3 linked regions of the Alligator mississippiensis genome follow. The protein of the gene in region 1 interacts with the protein of each later gene in a pairwise test. Links are inferred from orthologs where the notes say so. Each region holds a gene or a part of one and is shown on either strand. Other genes may lie near its edges.

Region 1 (6,937 bases):
GAAGGGGAGAGAACCCAGGCATCTGGGCATCCAACACCCCAGCCCCCCCCCAGCTGAAGAGACCCCAGGTATCCTGGCTCCCAGCGCCCGCCCCCGCATGCCACGCCTGGAGAGAATCCAGGCTCCGGGTCAGTACCTGGGGAACGTGGCGGGGGGGCGGCTGGGGGGCAGCGTCTGCAACGTCTCCTCCTCAGCGTCGCTCTCGCTGTCCTCCGAGTCCTCCTAGAGGGAGATAGGCAGATCACGGGGAGCCTGCCCCCCACCCCCCGGGCACACATCTGGAGGGGTGGCGCTCCCCAGAGCTGGGTGCTGGGGGCACCGAGGGCCAAGGCAGGGGAGGGGCTCATCCCCAGGGACGCAGCACAGGTGTGAGAGAGGTGTGGGGAACCCAGGTGTCTGGGAGCCCATCCCCCCAGCTCTCACCCCCCTCTCACAGCTGGAGTGAACCCCGGTGTCTGGGCTCTCAGGCTTGCCCCCTGGCTCCCACTGCCCTCATCCCGGTGCCCAGGAGTTTCCCCTGCCTGGCCACCCTCGCCTCACCTCTTGCTCCGAGTCAGTGCCCGACTGCTTAGGGTCCTTGCCCTTGGCCCCTGTCCCGCCGTTCTTCCTCCCGCTGCCCGGCTTCCGGCCCCTGCATAGACCCACCAGGCATCAGAGTCCCTTGCCGAGCCCCCCCCACAGGTTGAATCCCAGTAGGTGCAGTCAAATTGCAGCCACCTCTGGGGTGCAGCATGGCAGGTCTCAGAATTTGGGGCAATGGAGCCCCTGGTAGCCCAGATGAACCCCCCACCCAGGGTATTGGGGCCTAAAAGGAGAGAGCCCCCCTGCAGCACCCCCTACTGCCAGGGCATTGGCACCCAGTCTCCCATCCACAAAGTGATCCCAGCTGATCCTGCTTAGCTTCCAAGGGGTGTCAGGTGCTAGATGGGGAAAGTGTCCCCGAGCAGGGGCAGTGGTGGTCTCCCATCCACACACAGACCCTCTTCAACCCTGCTTAGCTTTCCAGGGGCAACAAGGGCTGGTGGAGCTAAAGCACCCCCTCCTCATTGGCTCCACCCCCACTAGCTCCACCCCTTACACCCAGCACCCCCTTCTGGCCCTGCCCCTCCAGAGCTGGCTCCACCCCTGCAGCCCAGCCTCTCCCACTAGCCCTGCCCCCCCAGACCTGGCTCCACCCCCTCACTACCCAGCACTCCCTGCTGGCCCTGCCCTGCACTGACCCCCACCTGCGGGAGACCCGCTCGCCCTCCATGTGGTTGTCCTCAGCGTCCCCCTGCATGTCGGGCACGGAGGCCACCAGGTCCTTGAGGAAGTCAAACTGCTGCTCCAGCTCGATGCACTGCTTCCTGCAGGGGGAGGGGCAGGGGGTCAGAGGGGGCAGGGCCAAGCCACAACCCACCCCTCCCCCCAACCCATCACATCCCCAAGGTCTCCCACAGCCCCCAGCAGGATACTTCCCCCTGCCAGGGAGATTCACAGCCCCTGCCAGGCCCCTCCAGCCCATGTTGATTGAAAGTGGGGAAACTGAGGCACAGAAGCCAGGTTGGGACTGTCCAGAGGGGACACGGTGAGGCAGGGGGAGAGCTCCCAGACCCCTCCCGCCCCTTGCTCTAATCCCTCAGCACAGCCATTCTCAGCCTTTTTTGTACCAGGACCCATTTCTACACTTCAGCGGCCAGCCCCAACCCGCTCCCCCACGCCCCGGCCCCCAGTGCGTGGGGCAGAGGGCCCAAGTAGCCCCTTGCAGGCTGGAGCTCTGCCCGCCTGCAAGGGAAGAGCCGCGGTGCCCACATTTATCTCCATTAAAGGAGAATTCACTTTCAAGTTTGTTCTTTCGTATGTTCTTGCGACCCACTTCTGGGTCGTAACCCCCAGATTGAGAAACGTTGCCCTGGAACCCACCCCTCCCCGAGCTGGAGGAAACCCAGGGATGCGGGCTCCCAGCCCCCCCGCTTTCACCCCCAGCCCACTCCCCTTCCAGAGCAGGGAGAGAGCCCAGATCCCTCCCACGCCTTGTTCTAATCCCCTAGACCCCAGTCCCCTCCTGGAGCGGGCAGATCACCCAGGTGCCCAGGGGACGGGACCCGGGGCACTCACAGGTGGGACGTGGTCATGGTCTTGGCGTTCCTGGACTGCGTCACTTGACAGGCCTTCCTGAGCAGCGACTCCAGGAACAGCTCCAGTGCCCGGGCTGTGGCAAGGCAGGGGTTAAGGGAGAGACCCCAGGTGTCCGGGCTCCAGCCCCTACTGCCCTCCCCGAGTCCAAGAGAAGCCAGGCATCCGCCCGGTCCCTCAGCCCCCGCTCCCCTCCCAGACCCTGAGAGAACCCAGGCAGGCGTCCAGGCGTTGCCAAGGATACAGATGATGACGGGGACAGCAGCCGCCACCTTCCCGATCTCCTCGTCCGTCTGCATGATCTTCTTGATCCGCGCCTGGGGGTGGGAACAGGTCAAGAGCTGGGGGGGCAGCCTGAGCTAGAGCCCCCCAGGATCAGGCCCAGATCAGGGCTATTTCTCCCCTCCTCCCACTCCCCTCCCAGAGCCGACAGAGGTCCCAGACATCCACGTGCCCGGCATCCCAGCTCTCCACCTTTTCGCATGGCCGAGCTGGGGATCAAACCCAGGCAGCCGGGCTCCTAGACTCCCCTGCTCTGATCCACTGGGCCCCACGCCCCCCCAGCACCGGGGGGCTCCCAGATGCCTCTACGCTACGCCCCCCACGGACCTCCTCTCCCCGTGCCCCCACCCCAGACTCAGCTGCAATCCCCCATGCCTCCTCTGCCCCCTCCCACAGCCGGAGACAACCCAGGTGTCCCGGCTCCCACCCCTCTCCCCCCAGCCCCCCCCCAGAGCCCCAGACAACCCAGGCGTCGGGCGCTGGACCCGGCCCTAGGAAGGAGTCCAGGCTGCCGGGCCCGAGCCTCCACGAGGAACCGGGGTGTCCGGCTGCCAAACCCCCAGTGTCGGGAAGGGACCCGGGCGCCAGGCCCTGGCCCCAGAAAGGGCCCCAGGCAGCTGGGTGCCGGGAAGGGGCCCAGGCATGCGGGCCAGGCCCTCGTCTTCAAAGGAGCCCAGGGGGCCGCGTACCCGCCCGGCCCCACAGATACCCCGGGGCCAGCCCCGGAGGAGGGAAGGGCCCGGGGGAGGCTGCGAGGTCCGAGGTCACAGGCCCTGGGGCGAGGGGGGCGAGGGCGGAAGGTCGGGGTCACAGGGAAGGGGGCCAGAGGGGCGCAGGCTCCGGGGGATGGGCGGGGCGGGGCGGGGCCGGCTAGGGCGGGGTCAGGGGTCACAGGCGGTTGGGGTCAGGGTGGCCGGGGGGGGGGGACGACCCGGAAAGGAACCGAGGCGTCCGGGGGGGGGCCCAGGGAGGGGCCCAGGCGCGACCACCCGGCGCCCGAGGGGCCCCGCCGTCCGGGCTGCAGCCCCCACCCGCCAGGATGGGGAAGGGCCCCAGGCGCCGGGCCAGGCTCACCGGCGGGAACCGCGCGTTGTATTTCTTCTTCTTGCTCGGCATCGCGGCCCGCTGCGCCCCGCGCCCGCCCGGTCCTAGCGCCGCCCGCCGGCCTGGCCCCGCCCCCTACCCCGCGCCCGCCCGGTCCTAGCGCCGCCCGCCCAGCCTGGCCCCGCCCCCTGCCCCGCGCCCTAGCACCGCCCATCCCAGCCTGGCCCCGCCCCCTGCCCCGCGCCCGCCCTGTCCCAACACTGCCTTCCCGGCTCGCCCCGCACCCGGCCTGGGGACGCCCCGCCCCTACCCCCACACCGGGCTCCCCCAGCCGCCAGGGAGGGCCCCGCCCCTAGTCTCGCTGACTCCGCCCCGCGCTGTCCAGGTACCTCCCGCAACCTTCGAGCCGGGCCCCGCCCCCGGAGGCCCCGCCCTTTCATTGCAGCCCCTCCCCTCCCCCTCCTCTCCCGGAAGTCCTCCCCTCCCGAGCAGCTCCTTTCCGCCTCTGTCCAGACGTAACTTCCTGCTTCACCCTCCGTGCACCTCCGTGTCGGCTTCTGCCATTTCCGGTTTCCCCCGTCCGACCCCCCCCGTTGCCTCCCCCCGGGCTCGGCCCCGCCCCCTCCCTCAAGATGGCGGCGGCCGCGGGCCGCTGAGAGGGGCCAGGTGAGGGCGGGGGCTCGTATTAGGGGAGGGGCTGGGGGGGCCTGGCACGGGGGCGGGGCAGCGACTGGGGGAGGGGGCCTGGCACATGGGGCTGGGGGGGCTCCTATGGGGGGGGGGGCTGGGGGCGCGGGGCCGGCTGATCATGGGGCTGGGGGGCACGTCGGGGGCACCTGGTGCTGGGCAGGGCCCCGTACTGGGCGGCCTCAACCTGCCTCCTCTCTCCCCCAGGGCAGCACCAGGCAGCAGCCCCCTGCCCCGGCTCCCTTCTTCTGCCGCAGGTAAGGCGGCCCCCGTGGCAGGGGCAGAACGGGTCCCTCCACGGCTGAGTGCCCTGGGGTGGAGGCAGCTGGGGGGAGCGGGTTGATTGCCCCGGGTGGGGGGGCAGAATCAGAAGCCGTTGGGGGTGGGAGGGCTTCTCCGCAGGGCAGGGGGTAAAAGAGCCCTCACCTTCCCGCTCCCTGAGCCCCAGCCCAGCCCAGCTCTCTGGGGCTACTTGCCGGGCAGAGAGCTGCCGGGCAGAGATGACCCGAGCAGGGTGCGGGGCCCTGCCCCTGCTTCGCTCCCGTGGGCCCCGGACCCAAAGAGGCTGGTGGGGTGCAGCGAGCGGCTGGACGCAGAGCTGCTGCTCCATGGGGGCCCCGAAATCATGGGGCCCAGGGCAGTTGCCTCTGTTCACCTCCCCCTAGGGACAGCCCTGCTGCTAGCCAATTAATAGCTCGGTTAATTGGCTTGTGGATTCCCCCGACCAACGCTAAACGTACAACCGAGGAGCTAGCCCTGTGCTGTAAGTTAATTAACCAGCCCCCTTCCCAATCGCAACTGATTAGCTGCCTGCACCCTAAATTAATTAACCATCCCCCTCCAATTGGAGCTGTTTAGCCTGCCCGCTTGTACTATCCTCGGGCTAATTAAGCAGCCTTCCCCTAACGGTAGCTCCCAAAACAGTCAGGCTCTTCAGTCAGCTTAGCCCACCCGCCTGTGCTGATTAGCTGCTCCTGTGCAAAGTTGAAGAGCCCCTTGATGGAGTGAATTAGCCCCAAACCTAGGGCAATTACTGAAAATAAACCCCTTTGACCAGGTAATTAGCCTGCCTGTCCTATGTGAAGCTGATGAGCCTTTCAACCTGCCAGTTAGCCCACCTGCACCATACCTGAATTAGCTTGCCCTCCCTAATTGAAACTAATTGGCCTGCCTGCCCCCTGCTTAAGGTAATTAGTTTGGCCCCTGCCAAACAAGGGAGCCTCTTCCTCAGAATTAATTAGTCTGCCTGCCTCTTACCTAAGCTAATTAGCCTGACCAGTGCAAAGCTAGAGCCCCTTTCTCAGAGCTAATTACCTTGCCCGCTCCTCACCCTAACAAGCTTGTCACTCCAAACTAATTAGCCCACCTGCCTCCCAGCCTTCCCATAAGGCAGCTGTGACACCTGACCTTTTCCCATACCTCCCCCCTACCTTCCCCCGCATTGGCAGGTGCCTGCTCCAGGACCCAGCAGCTATGTCAGACCAGGATGAGGGCGACGGGGGCCGGGATGGCCCCTTCTCAGCTGAGCAGCTGGCGGCCGAGTCAATGGCAGCCGACATGGACCCGTGGGTGGTGTTTGATGCCCGGCGCACCCCTCGGGCCGAGTTTGAGGCATGGCTGGCCACCTACCCGCCCTCCCGTGTGGCCCGCTATGGCCCACGGCCCGTGGGCTGGATTGCCGTGTATGGTCCCGGCTACAGTCCTGAGGCGGGTGACGTGGTGGGCTTGCAGGAGGCGTGGGAGCGGCTGCAGCTGAGCGGCCGCTCCGTGACCCACACCACAGTGCGGGAGCTGGCCCTCAACCACGGCGTGCTCACGGGCAAGTGGCTCATCCACCTGGACACAGGCTTCAAGGTGGACCACGCCTGGGCTGGTGTGGCCCGGGCCGTGCTGGACGGGCGCTTCACTGTGGCCAAGGTGAGCCCCTGCCACCCTGATGGTGAACGGCGCCACGTGGTGTGTGTCTACACGGATGACTTCACAGATGAGGAGCATGTGCTAGCTGCCGACGCTGCCATCCGGGCTGCTGGCGTCAAGTGCCCGCTGGCCTACAAGCCCGATGTCTACACCTACCTGGGCATCTACCGCGACAACCGCTGGCGCCTCTGCCCTACCATCTACGAGAGCCGCTTCGACCTGGAGTGCGTGCCCCGGCGCTCCCGCGTCCTCAACAAGGTTACCAATGCCGAGGTCACTTAAGCATTGTGGGGGGGCCCGGCCCCCCCCTTTGACTGTTCACCCCCCTGTCCCTGGACTGGAGTAATGGGGTGAGGCTCTGTGTCCCAGCATGCACTGCTCCTGTGGAGGGGGTGGGGGTCTTGTCCCCTTCTGCCTATCTTGGACTATCTGCCTCCCTGGACTGGAGCTGTGGGGCTGAGGTTATTTATCCCAGCATGCACTGCTTCTGTGTGGGGTGTAGGGTCTTGCCCCTCCCTTAGATTGTCTGCCCCCCTCACCTGAAGTGGGAGTGAGGCTACATGTCACAGCATGCACTGCTTGGGGGGGGGGGGGGTTTCTGGCCCTGCCTGGACTGGAGCAGTGTGTCCCACCATGCATTGCTCCTGTGGGGTCTGATTCCCCTGAATTGGAGCTGTGCGGCTGAGGTCCTGTATCCCAGTATTACACTGCTTCCTTAGGTGAGGAGGGGCTAGTAGGCATGCCCCCATGCACAGGCTGGGCTGGGGCTGGGGTGGAGACTACAAGTCCCAGCATGCACTACTTCCCTGGCTCAGGGCCTGCTGGGAAGTGTGGTCCAGGAGCTCTGGCAGCTTAACTCTCTCATGGCCCTGTACTGGAGGGGCTCTGCCCC
Region 2 (7,910 bases), on another chromosome or scaffold:
TTTCTGATATCCCTGACAGGTTTTGACAAGTGAATTTCTTAGGCTTGACTTCTGTATGATTTTTAGATCGTAACAACAGGTCATGCAAGTTCAACAGGCTACTTTATTCACCTGTTTCACCCTGTATGGGTCAATTATGCAAATAAAGTAAAAACCACTTCAAGGGAAAGCAGCAACACTCCTACTCCTGGCTACCTTCCTCAAACTAAAGGAAGCACTGACTCTGACTTAAGGAGATAGCTGGTTTGAACTACAGGAATGCATTAGACTGCCACGCCATTGTTATGTAGCAAAAGGTGTTGCATTTATTACTTGTGCTGTTGCAGCACCGGGACTCCCAGTTACAAGCCAGAGTCTAGCTAGGTACTGTACAGTTGGGTGCTGCCCCAGATATTTTAGATAAATGACAATGCCTGTCTGTCATAAGCATTTGGAAGAATAAGCAAACAGTGAAACGATACTAATCAGCACAACAGACAATGATAAGTGGAAGTGAAAGGCAAATATCTGAGATGGTAAACAATGTTACATTTTAATCTGTGCTTGAAAATCAAACCAGTTTCCATACGTATTTCTATTTGACACAGTGCAAACAGTTTCCATTGGTCAAAGTGTTATGACTTAAATTAACATAATAGCTTCTGTTTTGGTAAAGTCTCAATGGATCATGCTACATTCATCCTCCAATCAGAGCTAATTCCTGAAATGGACACGGTAAAGGAAGAAATAACTTTAGAATTTAAGAAAATGGCATTAATTCAGAAGCGTCAAGCATAAGGTTTAACTACATTCCAATTAAGTATTTGTTTCTATGAAAAAGAAAAATAAAATCAAAGGGAACATATTCCTTCACCTATAGATATTAGTTGGTGTCCTAGATACTACGGTCCTGGGTAGGACTGTAAGTCCCATCTAACTGGAGGGCTGGGGGAAAACGTGACAGGGCAATGCACGGCAGGGCAGCTCCTATTAAAAAAACCACAGTGTTGCAACCTCCAGAGTAAGGCGAGCATAGGGCACCTCAAAACCCTAGCCCCCATCGCCTTGTGGGTAACTCCTTGGTTGGAGAAAGGCTAAGGGACATCACCCTGACAGAAACGCACCCTTGCTGAGGCATTTGGCAGTCAGCAGCAGTTCTTACCTGCTGTTCTCTGCAACAAGCTACAACAGTAAAATGCAGCCCGTGGGCCAGATGCAGCCTGCCAGGACATTCTATCTGGCCCGTGGGCCCCCTAAAAAATTTAGGGAATATTAATCTGCCCCTGGCTGCCTGTCATGCGGTCCTCGATGGCTTGCTAAAGCTCAGTAAGCAGCCCTCCACCCAAAATAATTGCCCAGCCCTGAACTACAACCATTGAGGCGCTGAACGTCTGGACTCGCTCTGGCTTTTGAACGGGGGGGGGGGGGGGGGGGGGGGGGGGGGGGGGGCCACACAGGTCTTCGGCAGCCTCCCCTCCTCTGCGCTCTTGCCTAGGCACAAGCATCCATGACCTTGGTGTGATGGTCACAGGACTCCATACAAGCAGACTCATCAGGCACCCGACTAGACCTTTTACACACTCACCGTGACCCAGAGTATTGATGGTTGCCTACTAGATACTTACTGAATCTCCCTGATTATTTTCTACTTTAATAATGACCAAAACAAAAAGTAAAATCTGCCCTTTGCTTGAAAGATACACTGCCTCCACTGCAGCCCTTAGTTTATTAAAGCTGACCTGTATTTTAATACTACCTCAGGACAGACCCCTGGCTTGTCTGCACAGACCCACACGAACATGGCTCTGTACTGTACAAGCCACACGCTCTACAGACGTGCAAAGTACAGCTCCTTCAATGCAACTTACACTCAGTACCTAATGAGTCAAGGGCCAAAGCGTTGGGAACACGGCAGCTGTTGGGAATATTTGAGGGGAAAAAAACACATTAACGCTAGGTTAACTTAAATTGTTATGTCTTGAGCTTTTCACAGAAATTTTTGTTCACCAAGCGCCTTCGCCGCTGCTCTACAACATCCAGAGTTGCTGGAATTAATTTTAAAAATTCTATTCTTTCAAGCTATTTTCAAATTTGTTCCTATTTTAAAACACAGCCTATTTTAACAATTGTTGCAGCAGCAGGACACCAACTGCCCTTGTCACCCTGCTTGAACCTGTGGTGTTTTAACTGTGCCTTGCAGCTGAGAGACAGGTTCAACGGTATAGTTTTAATAACCTGGCATTTACTCAAATCCAAGGAGGGTTTTAGTAACATCACCTTTACTCAAGTCCAAGAGAAGGGTTTTAGTAACACCACCTTTACTTGAGTCTAAGATGAGGGTGTTACTCGAATCCAAGGCGAGGGCAGTAGTAACACCACCGTTACTCGAATTTCTGGTTTTAGTAACACCACATTAACCCGAAGCCAAGATGAAGGTCCGTGTCCATCCGTCCCCCATTCAACATGGGGAAAGAATAACCTCGTCCCAGCAAGAATTAGATCCTATACGTGAAAAGTGAGAGCAAACGTAGCAGGCGTCCCACGCAGAGCATTTAATTAACGGGGGAGTCTTCCATCCGCAGCCGGTTTGGATCCGGGTGCTTGAGCAAGGACTTGTGCGGGCGGGTTTGGTTAGGGAGGATGCTGCCTCGGGGCAGGGGCGACCAGACCTGCAGCCCCACCGCCCCGGTGGGCACGGCCACACAATGCTCTTCTCCGCCGGGGCCCCGCTCAGACCAAAGGCTGCTTCCACCGCCCAGGCGCTCCCGCCACCCGACGGCGCGGAGGGGCCGGCTCCCCCTGCGCTGCGGCCCGGCTCCAACCCGCCTTTCTGCCCGCCCCGCCCGGCGCTAGGCCCGGGCTCCCCGGGGACCGGCAGGAACCGCCGCGCGCGGCCCCCGACCCCAGCCCGGCCCGCGCTCACCCGCGGCCGCCGCCGAAGCTGCTGTAGGCCCGATCGTCGTAGGCATCGAAGTCCGCCATCGCCACCTCAGCCGCCGCCTCCCGCGCGAGCGTGACAGGGCCGCGCCCGCAGGCCCCCGCGCCGCTTATATAGGGGGCCAGCGCGGGGCTGCCCGCCGCACTGCCTGCGCCGTCGCCGCCCGCCTCCCGGGGCTGCCCCGCGCGATGCCTGAGCCGGCGCGCCGCCCCCACCACCACGTGGGTCGGGCCCGGCGGCGCCATGGAGCGTCACAGCGCGGCGCGGGGCCTCCGCGCGTCACAAGGGTCCGGGCCGCCCGCCGCCGGGCCCCACGGATCAGCCCAGCCCAGCCCAGCGCGGGGGCCCCGGGCCCCGCCACAGCACCGCGGCTCGGGCCCGGCAGTGCGGCGAAGGGACGAGAGGCAGGGGAGAGCGGGCTCTCCTCTCAAGGAGGAAAAAGGGGGGAAGCGGCTCTTACCTTGCGGCCTGGCGGGTCTCCCCCTCCGTGTGTCACACCCGTGTCCTGCACCCCCTCTCCCCGTCCCCCCTACACCCTAGTGGCCCCCATACGGTCCCTAAGTCCCCCCCACACACCCCTGTGTCCCACACATATATCCCCATGTCCCCCTGACACCCCTATGCCTCCACACACCCTGTGTCCCCCATGCCCCCCACACCACCCCATGCCCTGCACATCCCCCCACACTCCCTGGTGCCCCCATGCCTTGCACACCCCCATGTCCCCCACGCCCCATGTGCCCCACATGTACACCCCTGTGTGTCCCCCTTCCCCCCACCCCTTGGCCCTCCCCCATATAGCCCCCCATGACCTTCACATACACCCCCATGGCCCCCCATGCACTGCGCACCCCCCCCATGCCCCGCACACCCTCCCACTCTGTGCCCCACACATACCCCCCATTTCCCACACTCCCTAATACCCCCCCACGCACACCCTTGCCCCTCCCTGTGCCCCCCCCACACCTTTGTGCCCCAAACACACCCCCATGCCCCATGTGTTTTCTACCTAAATTATTCACTGGGTCTGGACTGGCCGTGGATGTTTCCATGGTGGGTCCTGGTACAAACAAGGTTGAGACCCGCTGTGCTAAAGGACTGGTCTAGCTAGACCAGGCTCAGGGTGATTAGGGGTTTCCAAGGGGAATAAAACCCAGTTTTACAGCCTGTGTGTTCGCAGCACTGTCTTTGGCTCTTCTTAAAAAATGTCGAAGGCATTTGTACCTTACAGACTGGCCAAAGAGAGAGAGATGCATAAAAACACACGTACATGTGTATGCATACATATACATATATTAATCAAATGACAGCGTATGTGTTTAGCACAAATTTCCAGAGCCGAAGCTCAATTCATAGGTGTGTGTGTACCCAGCTATCTAGCCCAAGCTTTTCCTTAGTCTGTATCTGGTTAGATATATATCTGGTTAGCCTACAAAGTGCAAATCAACTCTGCCTTCTTGATTTCAGATTAATGTGGTTTAGTCTCTTTTAACAAAAGATGTCAGTGAAAGTACTGGATGCAAACAAGCTCCTGCGCTGTCTGCAAGAAAAGCATGGCAGTGCTGTGCCCTGTATGTGGGAACGGGAAAACGATTTGAAAAAATGCGCAATTGAAACTCAGCGAAATGCTGAAAACAATGCCAGGGCTTAAATGGTAAAAGCTAAGCCCTAAGTGCTGCGTGTGATTTCAGTTTTAATAATCTGTCAGAGGTAGATCAGGATACTTGCAAAATCAGAAGCAATGCACAATCAGGATATTTCGTTTAAAAATAATGTACTTTTAGCTAGCTGGTCTTAAAATATTATTTGCATTCTGTCAGCATCTCTTTTAAGTTCATCACAGATAGCCTAGCAATTATTAGTAAGGTGATCAAAAGTGGTTCTTTCATACAGCAGACCCCATTGCTGCTCTCTCTTCTTTAGATAACTGCAACTGACCTGAGATAAAGTGATATTTTAAAAGGAAAAGCAACCAATGCCACACATTTATTGGTGGTTCTTCTTACTCTATGAGCTTCCTCTGTCGTTAATAAAGATCACTTTTTTTTTCTTTTTAATGGTGCTGTGGGCAGGAAGATAATGGACTGACTGTAGTAAGGGTTTCCTAATATATTCCAAAGTGTGTCATTTGCATTATTGATTTGTTTTTTCTACTGGACCGTGGTTTAGGGTTTTATTATAGAGAACTACAACTTATTGATTTTCCCCCATCTGACTGTGTCAATAGGCCTAGTGTCCCATCCCAGACAATACTAAGCTGTCACAATGCAAAAGATTTTGTTTTTTGAGGGAAGCTTTTCCATATGACATTGTATACCTTGACTTCCAAAAAGCCTTTGGTCTGGTATCCCATGATGTCTTCATGAGAAAATGGGAGGATTGTGGGCTTAACTCCAAGATGGTCAGGTGGGTAGGAAATTGGCTGCGGGGTAAGCCTCAAAGAGTCCTAATGAACTGTCCTGAGTTGTCCTGGCAAGAAGTGGTCAGCGACATTCTTCAGGGGTCCATGCTTGGTCCAGTGCTTTTCAACATCTTCATCAATGATTTGGATGTGGGTCCAAGTTCATAGATGAAACCAAGTCAAGGAGGTGATTCTATCACTCTGCTTGGCATTGGTGAGACCGCAGCTGGAGTACTGCGTCCAGTACTGGGCAGTGCACTTGAACAAGGATATGGAAAAGCTTGAGAGAGTCCAGAGAAGGGCCATCCATATGATCAGAGACTTTCAAGGCAAGACATATGAGGAAAGGCTGAGGGACCTGGGACTCAAGCCTGAAAAAGAGAAGGCTCAGAGGGGACCTGGTAGCTTACCACACTACATTAGGGGAGTACATCAAAGGCTCCGTGAACAACTGTTCACCAGGGCACCCTTGGGGTAAACCAGGAGTAATGGCCACAAACTCCTGGAAGACCATTTCAGACTCAACATTAGGGGAAAACGTCTTCACAGTCAGGATGTGCAGACTGGAATAAGCTCCCTCCACAGGTAGTGCAATCACCTACTCTGGAGATCTTCAAGAGGAGACTGACCCCAGTCACCAGACCCCAGTTGTCTTTCCTTTCTGGTGCAGGGGACTGGACCTGATGATCTTCCAAGGTCCCTTCTGGCCCCTTACAATTTCTGAATCTATGAGCATCTATATCCAGCTGCCATTTGAGAGTCCAGGTTACGCACTTTCAGTCTTCAAAATCTTGGTCACTCCCCAGTTTTTGGGAAAATAAGACAAAACAACTCCAGAAAAATTAAATATTAGAGGTGCACCGATAAATATTGGATCGGCACCAATAAAAAGAAAATGAACTGTATCGGGAATCAGCCTGATGTCTCTGATAATTGGGCAGATAAATGCCTGTGCATGCGCACAGATGCAGGCAGCGAGGAGCACAGCCCAGCAACATGGAGAGCTGTGTGCAGCTGGTAATTCTGTTGTGGTGGAAGGGGAGAGGGGAGGGAAGGGGCTGGGGGGCCCACAACGAGGGAGGGAGTGGGGCTGGGGCACACATTGCCCAGCCGGGGCAGGGTGGGGTGCAGGACAGAGGGGGGGCAGCTCCCACTGCTGTGCCCCACCAATGGGGGGGGGCGTGTGCCCAGAAGGGCACGGGTGGTGTGCCATCAAGTCTGTGCAGGGTGCAGGCAGGGAGGGCTGCAGCTGTGGACTGGCTCTGTGCTGGGCTCTTCCCCCTGGGGCTGGGCCAGGCTGTGCTTGGGGAGGTGGGGGTGACAGCACTGGGAGGGGGCTTACGTGGGGGGGCTGCAGCCACCCCAAATTTCACCATAGCCCCTCCCAGCACCGTGGCAGCCACCTACTGCAGCCCCCACTGGGAAGAGCCTGGTGCAGCCCCAGCCCACAGCTGCAGCCTGCCCTGCCCCATGCAGATCTGTGGGGCACACGCACACCCCATGCCCTCCCAGGGTGCACACAACAACGGGAGCCCCCATGCCCCCCATCCCACACCTGCCCTACCCTAGCTGGGCAGCACCTGCCCCAGCCCCACTCCCTCCCTCACCATGGGGGACCTTGATCTGCCCCCCGCCCCTCCCCATCCACCACAACAGATTTACCAGCTGCATGCAGCTGTATCGGAAATTGGATTGGTATCTGCTGATAAGCCTCCTTAAAAATTGGCTATCGGTATTGGCCCCCCAAATCTCTATTGGCGCACCCATAAATAATTTTTTTTTTCTAAAGAGTCTACCCCACATCATTGCTTATTGGCGACATGTAGGGGGTGCACGCGGGTGCACGTGTACCTCCTCAGATCGGCGGTGCACTCCCTATGAAAAGCACTGCCACTCGCTCCTTGCCACGGCCCCCCTTGCTGCCAACACCACCAGCAGTGTCTGCAGATGGTTGCCGACTGCCAGCCAGCGCTTGCCTAGCCCCCGACACCGCCGTGGCCACCTCTGGGAGCTCCCCACTCGGCCTGCCCGGCTGCCAACACCGCCTGCAGGCGGTCCCTGTGCCCCCCAGCCTCCGGGGGCACGCGTCGTTCATGTCATTGCTTTATGGCAGACTGGGCTGCCTTCCCTCAAGGGCAGATGTAATTAATTGACTTTAAAGGCACCTTATCTTGGTGGGTCACTGTTCTAGGTGGAGAATAAACTGGTACCAATACCGCTGCACCCATTTTTAAGTTATCCCGCTGTAAATCATTTTGGTGACCCTTCTCAAACTACAGGCAGTCCTCAGACTTACGACGCAATTGGTTCCTGAAAACCGTGTCTTAAATCGAAACGTAACTCGGAACCGATTTTCCCATAGGAAACAATATCGTAAATGGGGGATTTGCTCCTGAACCTAAGCCCGATACCTTATTTTCACCAAAAATAACCCAGAATGTTGTACTCGATCAATGATAGTCGTATAGAGCACACCGCCTGCCGAAACTTCCTTAGCCTGATGAAGCCTTTTTGAACCCGAAAGCTTGCTTAATAATTGTTTTCCCCGGTCTTGCTTGCCCCTGGACCTGCAGCTCACCCACCCCCTCGTGC
Region 3 (7,780 bases), on another chromosome or scaffold:
GAGAGGTCTAAAATCATGCTTGGACTGCATTTCCCAGAATCGCTTCCTAAATGCCTTCATAATTTGGCAGGTGTTTTGGTCAGCGGTTACAACAAGCTGGATAAAGTGCAGAGCTGACACACGCATGTGTGTGCATATATGAAATGTGAACAGAAGTAACCTGTTCCTGATCAAGTATTAACACAGTGGAGTAAGAGGTCTTACCTATAATAAAACTAATGTTAAAAACATTTTTTCTTAGAAGGGGGAAAAAAACCTGCCTTGTTTTCTGGCGCAGTCATGCGCAGAAAAGGAGACTTATTTTGCTCATCTGTTTTAATGGCACAGAAAATATGAGGGGAATTATTTTTTGTTATATTTGGAAGGCTTTATTTAGAGCTATAAAGGCTGAAAACAGTGAGTGATTCAGCACTGTGGAGCTGTTTCTAGTGCTCAGGGTTAAGGGGGTGAAGGGTACCACACGCACCCATATTTTCTTCCTGACTTGAGTGTGCTGAGTACTACTAAAGATGGCTTGTGGAGAAAAATACATGCGCTTCTCCCCCCCACCCCTTTAAATTTTCCCTCACTTTATCCAGAAATTATGAAGAGGGATCCTGGGCTTTGGTTGCTGCCTAGATTCTCCCTGTAGTGGGGCCTGGACTCAGTCTGCATTTGGAGCTCTCATGACAGTACAAAAGATGGCTTTGCCTCTCTCCCTGCTGATTGTGTCATTAGGCTGGGGGTCCAGCGGAGGTCTGACCTGCAGAGAGGTCCTCTGCTGCTGCTGCATCATTTGCTAGCCCTCTCCTGTCGCCTTGGCAACACAGCTGTGATACAGCTATGGGTTCAGGCGAGCAGAGCCTTTCCCTTCATCGAGATGAGTTCACATCAATAAACTAGTCAGTGTTACACAGGGAACTCTCCCAGGTGGGAAGAGGAGGGTACTAATTTCTCTGGAGTAGCTGTCCATTTCAAGCCTTTCAGAGAAATGGAGGGTGATGCTGCAAAAATTACTCCTAGCACAGGCTGAGCGAGTCTCCTTTGCCAGCCAAGTGTCTGGGGATTATGGGAATTCACTGTTTGGTTTCTGTTTTTTTTTTCCTGCTGGTGAACTGAGAATGGGTGAACAGGATATACTCCCGTTTTAAGTAGCTTAGAGAAATGCCCGAATTTTACTTGAAGAAAAACTCTTTCTACTGTTCCTTCAGACTTTGACATAACCTTATGTATTGGGTATTGATTTCTGTTTGTCTCCTGGGAAATGCAGAACTGTACTAGGATGTCAACCAGAACTACATACAGCATAGTAGAAAAAGGAATTTTTGGTACCACCCTGTACCTGACTGGTCTGTTATGTCTACAGTGATGCTCTAGTTCAAGGTTTTGTTCTCTCCCTGCTGCTGTGTAGAAGACCCTTTGCTACATGCATGGAGGCTTGTTGATTTAACTGATAATGAATACACTTAAAATGCTGTCAAATAAGCATCATAAATCAGAGGAAGAGATTCAGATTTGTATTAAATTGTGCCCATCATTCACCTGATACTGATCAAAGCAAGGTTGCTGTTTTGTTGTTACGTATAAATAAAAACCGGGAGCTTTCTTGGAAAGGCTTACTGGATCTGAAGAGACCGTCATGTGTTGGAAACATTTCTTTTCCACCTTGGTTGGAGGTGGATCCTCTGGGGAATCCAAGACCAAAACCAGGAATACTAGAGTACATCTGTAAAAGTAAATTATCTTTCCCGACATGGAACAAACCTGCGGCATTAAGGTAGTGGCAAAGTATCTGGTTGTAGGAACTCTTGGGGACAGTCAGTGATACGTCTTCTTTCAAAGTTGTGCTTAAAATGTGTTTCTTTTTCTTCTCCAGTATGAAGTGTAACAGAACAGAATTTACCACCTGAAACTGCTGCTTCAAGTTCAGATCAGGAAAGGAACCTACATCGTAACAACAACATAAGACCAAAGAAGAGTAAACTTACACTGAAGACACAACACTTGATCTGAAACAAGAAGTTTGTGCCTACTCAACAGCTTCAAAAAAAAAGCACGTCCCAACGCTGCTAATAGTCCTTGTTTTCTCCAGTGCTGTGCTGAAACTGCCCAGTACAGCAGCCGTTGTATTCTTTATTAGCTTGATAGATCAATTTCTCTCGCTAGTTTTTTTTGTTTTGTTTTTTTTTATTGTAACTATCTTCATCCTTTGAAACGTGCGCTGAAACAGAAGAATCAGCAAATACTACTGAAAGTGCAATATTTGAATATCACTGCGAGGTTGGTGCATGTACTATCCATAAATAGCTACAAATTCTTCCAAAACATGTGACTGTTTGGCATTAAATACCTCAGTAGCAGTTTTTAAAATTAAATTCTGCTTTTGCATAGGTTAGTCCTGGTTTCAGATGTATGAAGGTAGAATTTATGGCTCCAAATTCCATTATACTTGCATTTTTTTAAAATACTTGTGGGATCTGTGTAGATTGCTTTCCATTATTAGCCATATATCAGCAGTCACATGTGACAATCTTGTGAATACAGACATTTCCCAAAGTGTCTGTTTTCTTCAGCTGTCTTTTGATATAAAGCAGAATGAACTGATATATCTGGATCCCTCGGGGCAGGTGTGGGAGGAATCTTTTTTTTAAATGGTGATAGTGCAGGATTTTGGAATTCTATTCAGTAAGGTGACAGGCTAGATTTGAGAGAGGTCTGCCACTGGTAGTGAACATTTTAAGATAAATAGCAACCATGAGTCCAGTCCAGCCAAAAGCATCTGGCTTGTGTTGCACAAATCAACCCAAATGTAACTTTTATGGACTAGTGCAACCGTTCCGGGGTCTTTGATCTGGCCTCTAACGGAATCTGTCTAAAGGGTAGCTTTTGTGCTGAGACTGTACAAGTAACGTATGTAAAGTGATAGGTTGTCTTTGTTTAGTTCAGTTGAGTTTATTCGTGCAGTATCATAAAATGAAGTTGGGATTGCTGAACAGATATGGCAAACAGGAAAGAAGATGGAGTTTTCTATACCATATTCTACCCCATTTCCTATGTTAGTATCAACTTAGGCAATGCATCTCCAGTTTGAACAAAGTGATCATCTTTTGGCTAGTCATTAAATTATTTTGTACTCTTGTAGCACTCCTTTTAAAATCAAACCCCAATTAACTCAATTGACCTAATGCAGCAACCTCTTCTGAGCTAGAAAAATGACAGCAAGATGTTTACCTGGTTGGCTTTGGTTATTCTGAACTACATAACTCCTGTCAATACAATTGCAGTAGTTTCATTAGTGATGGCTATCTCTGATACAGAAATCTCTCTGACAGGTAAATTTATGAAGTGGGAAGGGCTAATTTTGTTGACACAATGTGAGGACTGTGGGGGGGACAGAGTGCTCTTAGCAGAGAAGGTGACTGTCCTCTCAGGACCTCTTTCAGAATGAGTTAGTGGCTTGACCTCTGCTGTCACTGGGTGAGTTTCACTTTGAAATCCATTTTGTTTCCCTCTCTTAGACATCCCATCTCCTCGCTGGCTGTTTGCAGGATACAGGTTTCTTTTTTGGTCTCTGCACATGTTAAAGACAGCCAGTGGGAGGGTGCGTACAAGTGTAGATGCTCCTTTTGAAGGGCGGAGAGAGCAGGGACCTAAGTTCTGGGTTGGTTTATGCTGGTAGTGCATCGTTTCAGGGTGGTGCCACGTGTTCAGTGTAACACTGAGTAAGTGCTGTTAAAACAACAAGAGGCAATTCAAGCAGCTTAGTGTGTTAAATACCCTCATGAAGCTGTAGATTTGTTTCTTTTTAGGCTTACTGCATTCCAGTGATTTGCAGCTGTTGCAGAGAACATGCCACATCACCCTAAGCTGAACCTGTGAGGAGAACACAAAGGTGTTTGAGCATTTCTAGTCCAGACAGATGCTGGCATTACGAATTTTGCATTTGAGTAGACTTCCAAATTCATAGCTTATACTAACATTTTTGCTAGAAATTCTTTGGGTATTCTCTAAAGATTTATAATTCTTAGTACCTGATACTTTTTCCCAAATGCTGTGGGAACGCATCAAGCGTTTAGATAAATTTAAACATGATATGATTTGTTCGGGGCATCATTTGATAAGGTAGTCTTAATAGTGATAAAATAGGAACAGCGTATATAGAGCTAAGATTAAGCGGTTAGGCAGTTACTTATACCTGTACATTATGGCTTACAATAATATAATCAGAACAATGTGGTGTTCTAACTTGTACTCTAGCTTTGTGCAAGAGGACATCATTCTATAGCATGCTTCCTGGCTTTCTAACAATGTGGTGAATGCGTTGGCAGCAAGATTAAGTTCCTAAACTAGGGCTGTTAGTGAAGTTGCTGAGTACAGTATACCAAGTGGAGAATAGTTGTCACACCAGTTAACAGCAGGGTGCAGTTCTAGGAATTGCACAGAGGATCAAATTGGGTAAGCTGTTGAATACCTGCAACTTTTTTTTGTTTTCGGTTGTTGGGAGTTGCGGGCATGTAGTAGCCCTCAGGATTTGACCTCATCTGTTCTGCTGTTCCAGTCTAAGGGAATTTTCTGTAACAAGCAGGAAGATGAATAGAGATAAAAGCAAAACTTTCCTCAAGACGTGGGTTATCTCAGTTGTGCCTGGTCTTCTGATTCTTAAGTATGACTGCTTGTTAGCAGGCATGCTAGTATACTGCTAAGTATCTGGACTCTGAAGAAACACTCTGGTGATGGGGAAGTTAGTTGTTGAGTGTCATGTGTTTTCCCCCCCCCCCCCCAAAATGTAGGATTAGCTTTTTTCTTTTTTTGGATTTATGGCTCCCACAGCCTTACCAGGGCCTGTTTGAGCTGTTGGTTCAATTTGAGGGATGTACCACTGCTTCCTTTGAAATAACCCTGTTTTGTTCACGGTTTCATATCATGCAAGAGAAAGGAAGATAGTAGAATATCACCAGTTGTACTCCTGCTGGAAAACAGACTGTGATGGAAAGGACTGCATGGCTTAGCAGGTTTTTAGCAGTGCTGTTACAATTGCAGCTGAACTGAATAGCACGTGTGTAATGTTGTAGCAACTGTGTTTTGTTTCATGCATAATACCTCCAATGGGTGTCTTGTCTTTGTGACTACTGGCTTTCTGCATGGCCTGGCCATACCTTTACTACTTTGAGCCACACTGCAAGTGGGAAGTGAGGAAGAAGAGAACTAGAAATGGCCTCCACACTCTTGTCCTTGAAAACGTTGCAGAAATCTGTGAAGACCAGTGGCATGTTGATCTAGTAGTCCAATGTAAAGCTCTAATTAGTGTAACCTCTTAAAGGACCTGGACTTGATTAGCAGTGACTTGGATGTATTTTTAAAGTTGTGCCAAATATTGACTAGTTATAACATTATACTATGTTATCACAGCTGTGTGAGATGGAGAACCATTATACTGTGTCATCAGATCCTCTCCCCCCTCCTGCAGCTCCCCCACCTTCTCTTCCTTTATCTTTCTCCTCATCTTCTACCTCATCTGGGTCTAAAAAACAGAAGAGGACCCCCCTGTATCAGAGATCTGTAAGTCAGGGTAGCAGTCTATGCACCTGTGTGTTTCAGAAGCATGGGGGATCTTGGGAACTGTCTGTCTTGAACACATGTTCTCACTTTCTAACGCTTCTAATACCAAATGCTTTCAACAAGTAAAAGAATCCAGTTCCTTCTAAGCCAATTGGAAAGCTTAGGGGTATTTATTTCAGAGATGTTATCACTCAAGCATTAATATTCCCCACTCTTCTCAACTGCCATGTGTGCAACTGCCTCTTATTCCCTATGTGCTCTCAGGGCCGTGTGTTATTGATTTATAGGCCAAGCAAGTATAACCTAAAGGAGGGTAGGAAAACAGCACCCTGTGGTTCCCGTTGTCACCCACTGCAAGTTTCTTCCAAAAGAAAACAGATCTGTAACATGCTTCCAGGTGACATCCTCTAGGGAAGCTGCAAATGTGGACCTTTTGGGGCTGTCAATTGTCCCTTCTCTTGTGGCACCATGCAGAGCACTGTTGTGATTTCTCAAAGAGCAGTGCTCGGCCATTGCAAGTGTGTGGCTGTTGCCCTGGGTTTAATGTTAATTCTGCTTAACAGTGTATATACTTGTTGGAGCATTCACAGCCAGTTGTGTTGTGCCCCTCAAGTTCAGTAACATCACTCTTGTTGGTATGCAGTGTAATACGAATGGTTTCTAACAGCGTACTTTAGTGAATTAAAATGACTTTTTTGTTTTGCAGTATCCAAGCTTGCTATTTTTAAGCTGTTCCAAAACTTTCCAACTCTAGTAAATGTGTGGAGTTAACTAATTGTGAATTCTTCTGCTTGAAGTTATAACAAACCTAGAATATAGATACCTGATAACACAAAGGGAAGCCTTGGTCCGTGTCCTAAATAGATGCGTTGGGAACTGCAGTGCCTGAAAACATTCATTGTAGTGTTCAAAATGCGTGTCGAGCGCAACTTGTCTTGATTGTGCTATTTGGAGAAATCAGTGTTACAGTTCTTGTAGCACATTTTCAGGCTGTTTGTCAGTACTAACTAGTAACTAGTGTTAGTTTTAAAGGATATATAACAAATTTCCATTTTAAAGTAGCAAAACCTGGATGTTGGAACCTTTGCAATACATTTTCTATTAACATTTTATAAACCTAAGCAAGCAGTGTTTGAAGAGTGCTGGTTAACCCTTTATTAATACATTTTAGAAGGAAGTGCATGTAAGATGTCTTGGGGATGAAATGTTGAAGAGTGGTTGGATTCATTTTTACTAACTTAAATCAAGCTCTTTTATAGAGTTGCCAGCTCCTGCATGTCACAGGATATCTAGATGTTTTCATGTGTGTGTTATTTATACCACAAAATTTTAGCTACACCTGGATTCTTAAAAGGCCGCTTTATGTCCTCTTAAAACATAAGCCTGGAGACTAGTTCAGCATGGGAATAATTTTAATACTGTGAAGGCTTAATTTTTTTTTAACAGTTGTATTACCTTAACTGGTGAAAGCAGATTAAATTTAAGAAGGATGGTAATTCTGTGTTAAAGCTGACAAATGTAAAAGAGTAAGTGGGGAATATTTTCATGGAGGGCACTGCATAGAGCATTTATCAAGCAACCTGATGTTTTAGGGTATCTTTAAAATAAAACTTGTTTGTGTTAAGTCAAAGATTTAGTTTTATGTCATCAATACAGCCTATTTTTATCTGTTTAAATCTATTGGTCTTCCAAATGTGAAGTTAATTGTCTCAAAGCTAAACTATTTTAGAGGGTGTCCCCCCCCCCCCCGTTCTGAAGAACTGGCAGAAAATCCTATTTACTTGTTGCCCATGTCTAACATACAGGCTGTTTGTGTCAGATTTACCATATTTACTTGTACACCACATATCTTCCCCCCCTCCCCCCCCCCGAATCAGCCCTCCCAATTGGGGTGTACATTTTTAACTGGGAGGCTGATGTCTGTGCTGGAATAAAAAGCACAGGGATGCTGTAACTGCTGCTAGAGCTCTGCTATTTTCTATGGCTGTAGAGAGGGAGGAGGTAAAAGAGCGCACTCTGCAGCATCATAGTTTTAACCTTTTCATGGCTTCTGCTTAATTAGCAGTAGCTTTTGCCCAAGCAGCCAAAAATGGCTGCTGCTAACGTGCCTGGCTACGACTGAGCTAAAACTGTAGCTTTTGCCTGAGTAGCTATAAACAGGATTCAGCCGTGACTGGAAAAATATTGTATTCCTTTTATTCTGCCTTTCCAAAACAAGGTCTGTTGGTCTCTGAGAACATGC

The links. The genes of interacting proteins can lie anywhere in the genome.
Region 2: the proteins of C15H11orf68 (region 1) and EIF4H interact in binary tests that used the Homo sapiens proteins (3 or more experiments, as listed by UniProt). The two-hybrid records come from large-scale screens. The link is inferred for Alligator mississippiensis from reciprocal best matches to the Homo sapiens genes C11orf68 and EIF4H.
Region 3: the proteins of C15H11orf68 (region 1) and CSDE1 interact in a two-hybrid assay, tested with the Homo sapiens proteins (2 studies listed by BioGRID and IntAct). The link is inferred for Alligator mississippiensis from reciprocal best matches to the Homo sapiens genes C11orf68 and CSDE1.

The regions. Positions count from the first base shown.
Region 1 is NC_081838.1:4,275,374-4,282,310, reverse strand, and holds the start of C15H11orf68 (UPF0696 protein C11orf68 homolog), read left to right. Parts: upstream 1-3,935; 5' UTR 3,936-4,107; intron 4,108-4,335; 5' UTR 4,336-4,385; intron 4,386-4,793; 5' UTR 4,794-4,891; intron 4,892-5,576; 5' UTR 5,577-5,601; coding exon 5,602-6,327; 3' UTR 6,328-6,937. Other genes in the region: DRAP1 (dr1-associated corepressor), read right to left, coding at 137-222, 541-631, 1,221-1,346, 2,098-2,191, 2,360-2,432, 3,472-3,513.
Region 2 is NC_081837.1:13,864,435-13,872,344, forward strand, and holds the start of EIF4H (eukaryotic translation initiation factor 4H), read right to left. Parts: upstream 3,014-7,910; 5' UTR 2,962-3,013; coding exon 2,903-2,961; intron 1-2,902. UniProt on the Homo sapiens protein: Stimulates the RNA helicase activity of EIF4A in the translation initiation complex. Binds weakly mRNA.
Region 3 is NC_081837.1:45,638,467-45,646,246, reverse strand, and holds the start of CSDE1 (cold shock domain-containing protein E1), read left to right. Parts: upstream 1-4,767; 5' UTR 4,768-5,376; coding exon 5,377-5,538; intron 5,539-7,780. UniProt on the Homo sapiens protein: RNA-binding protein involved in translationally coupled mRNA turnover.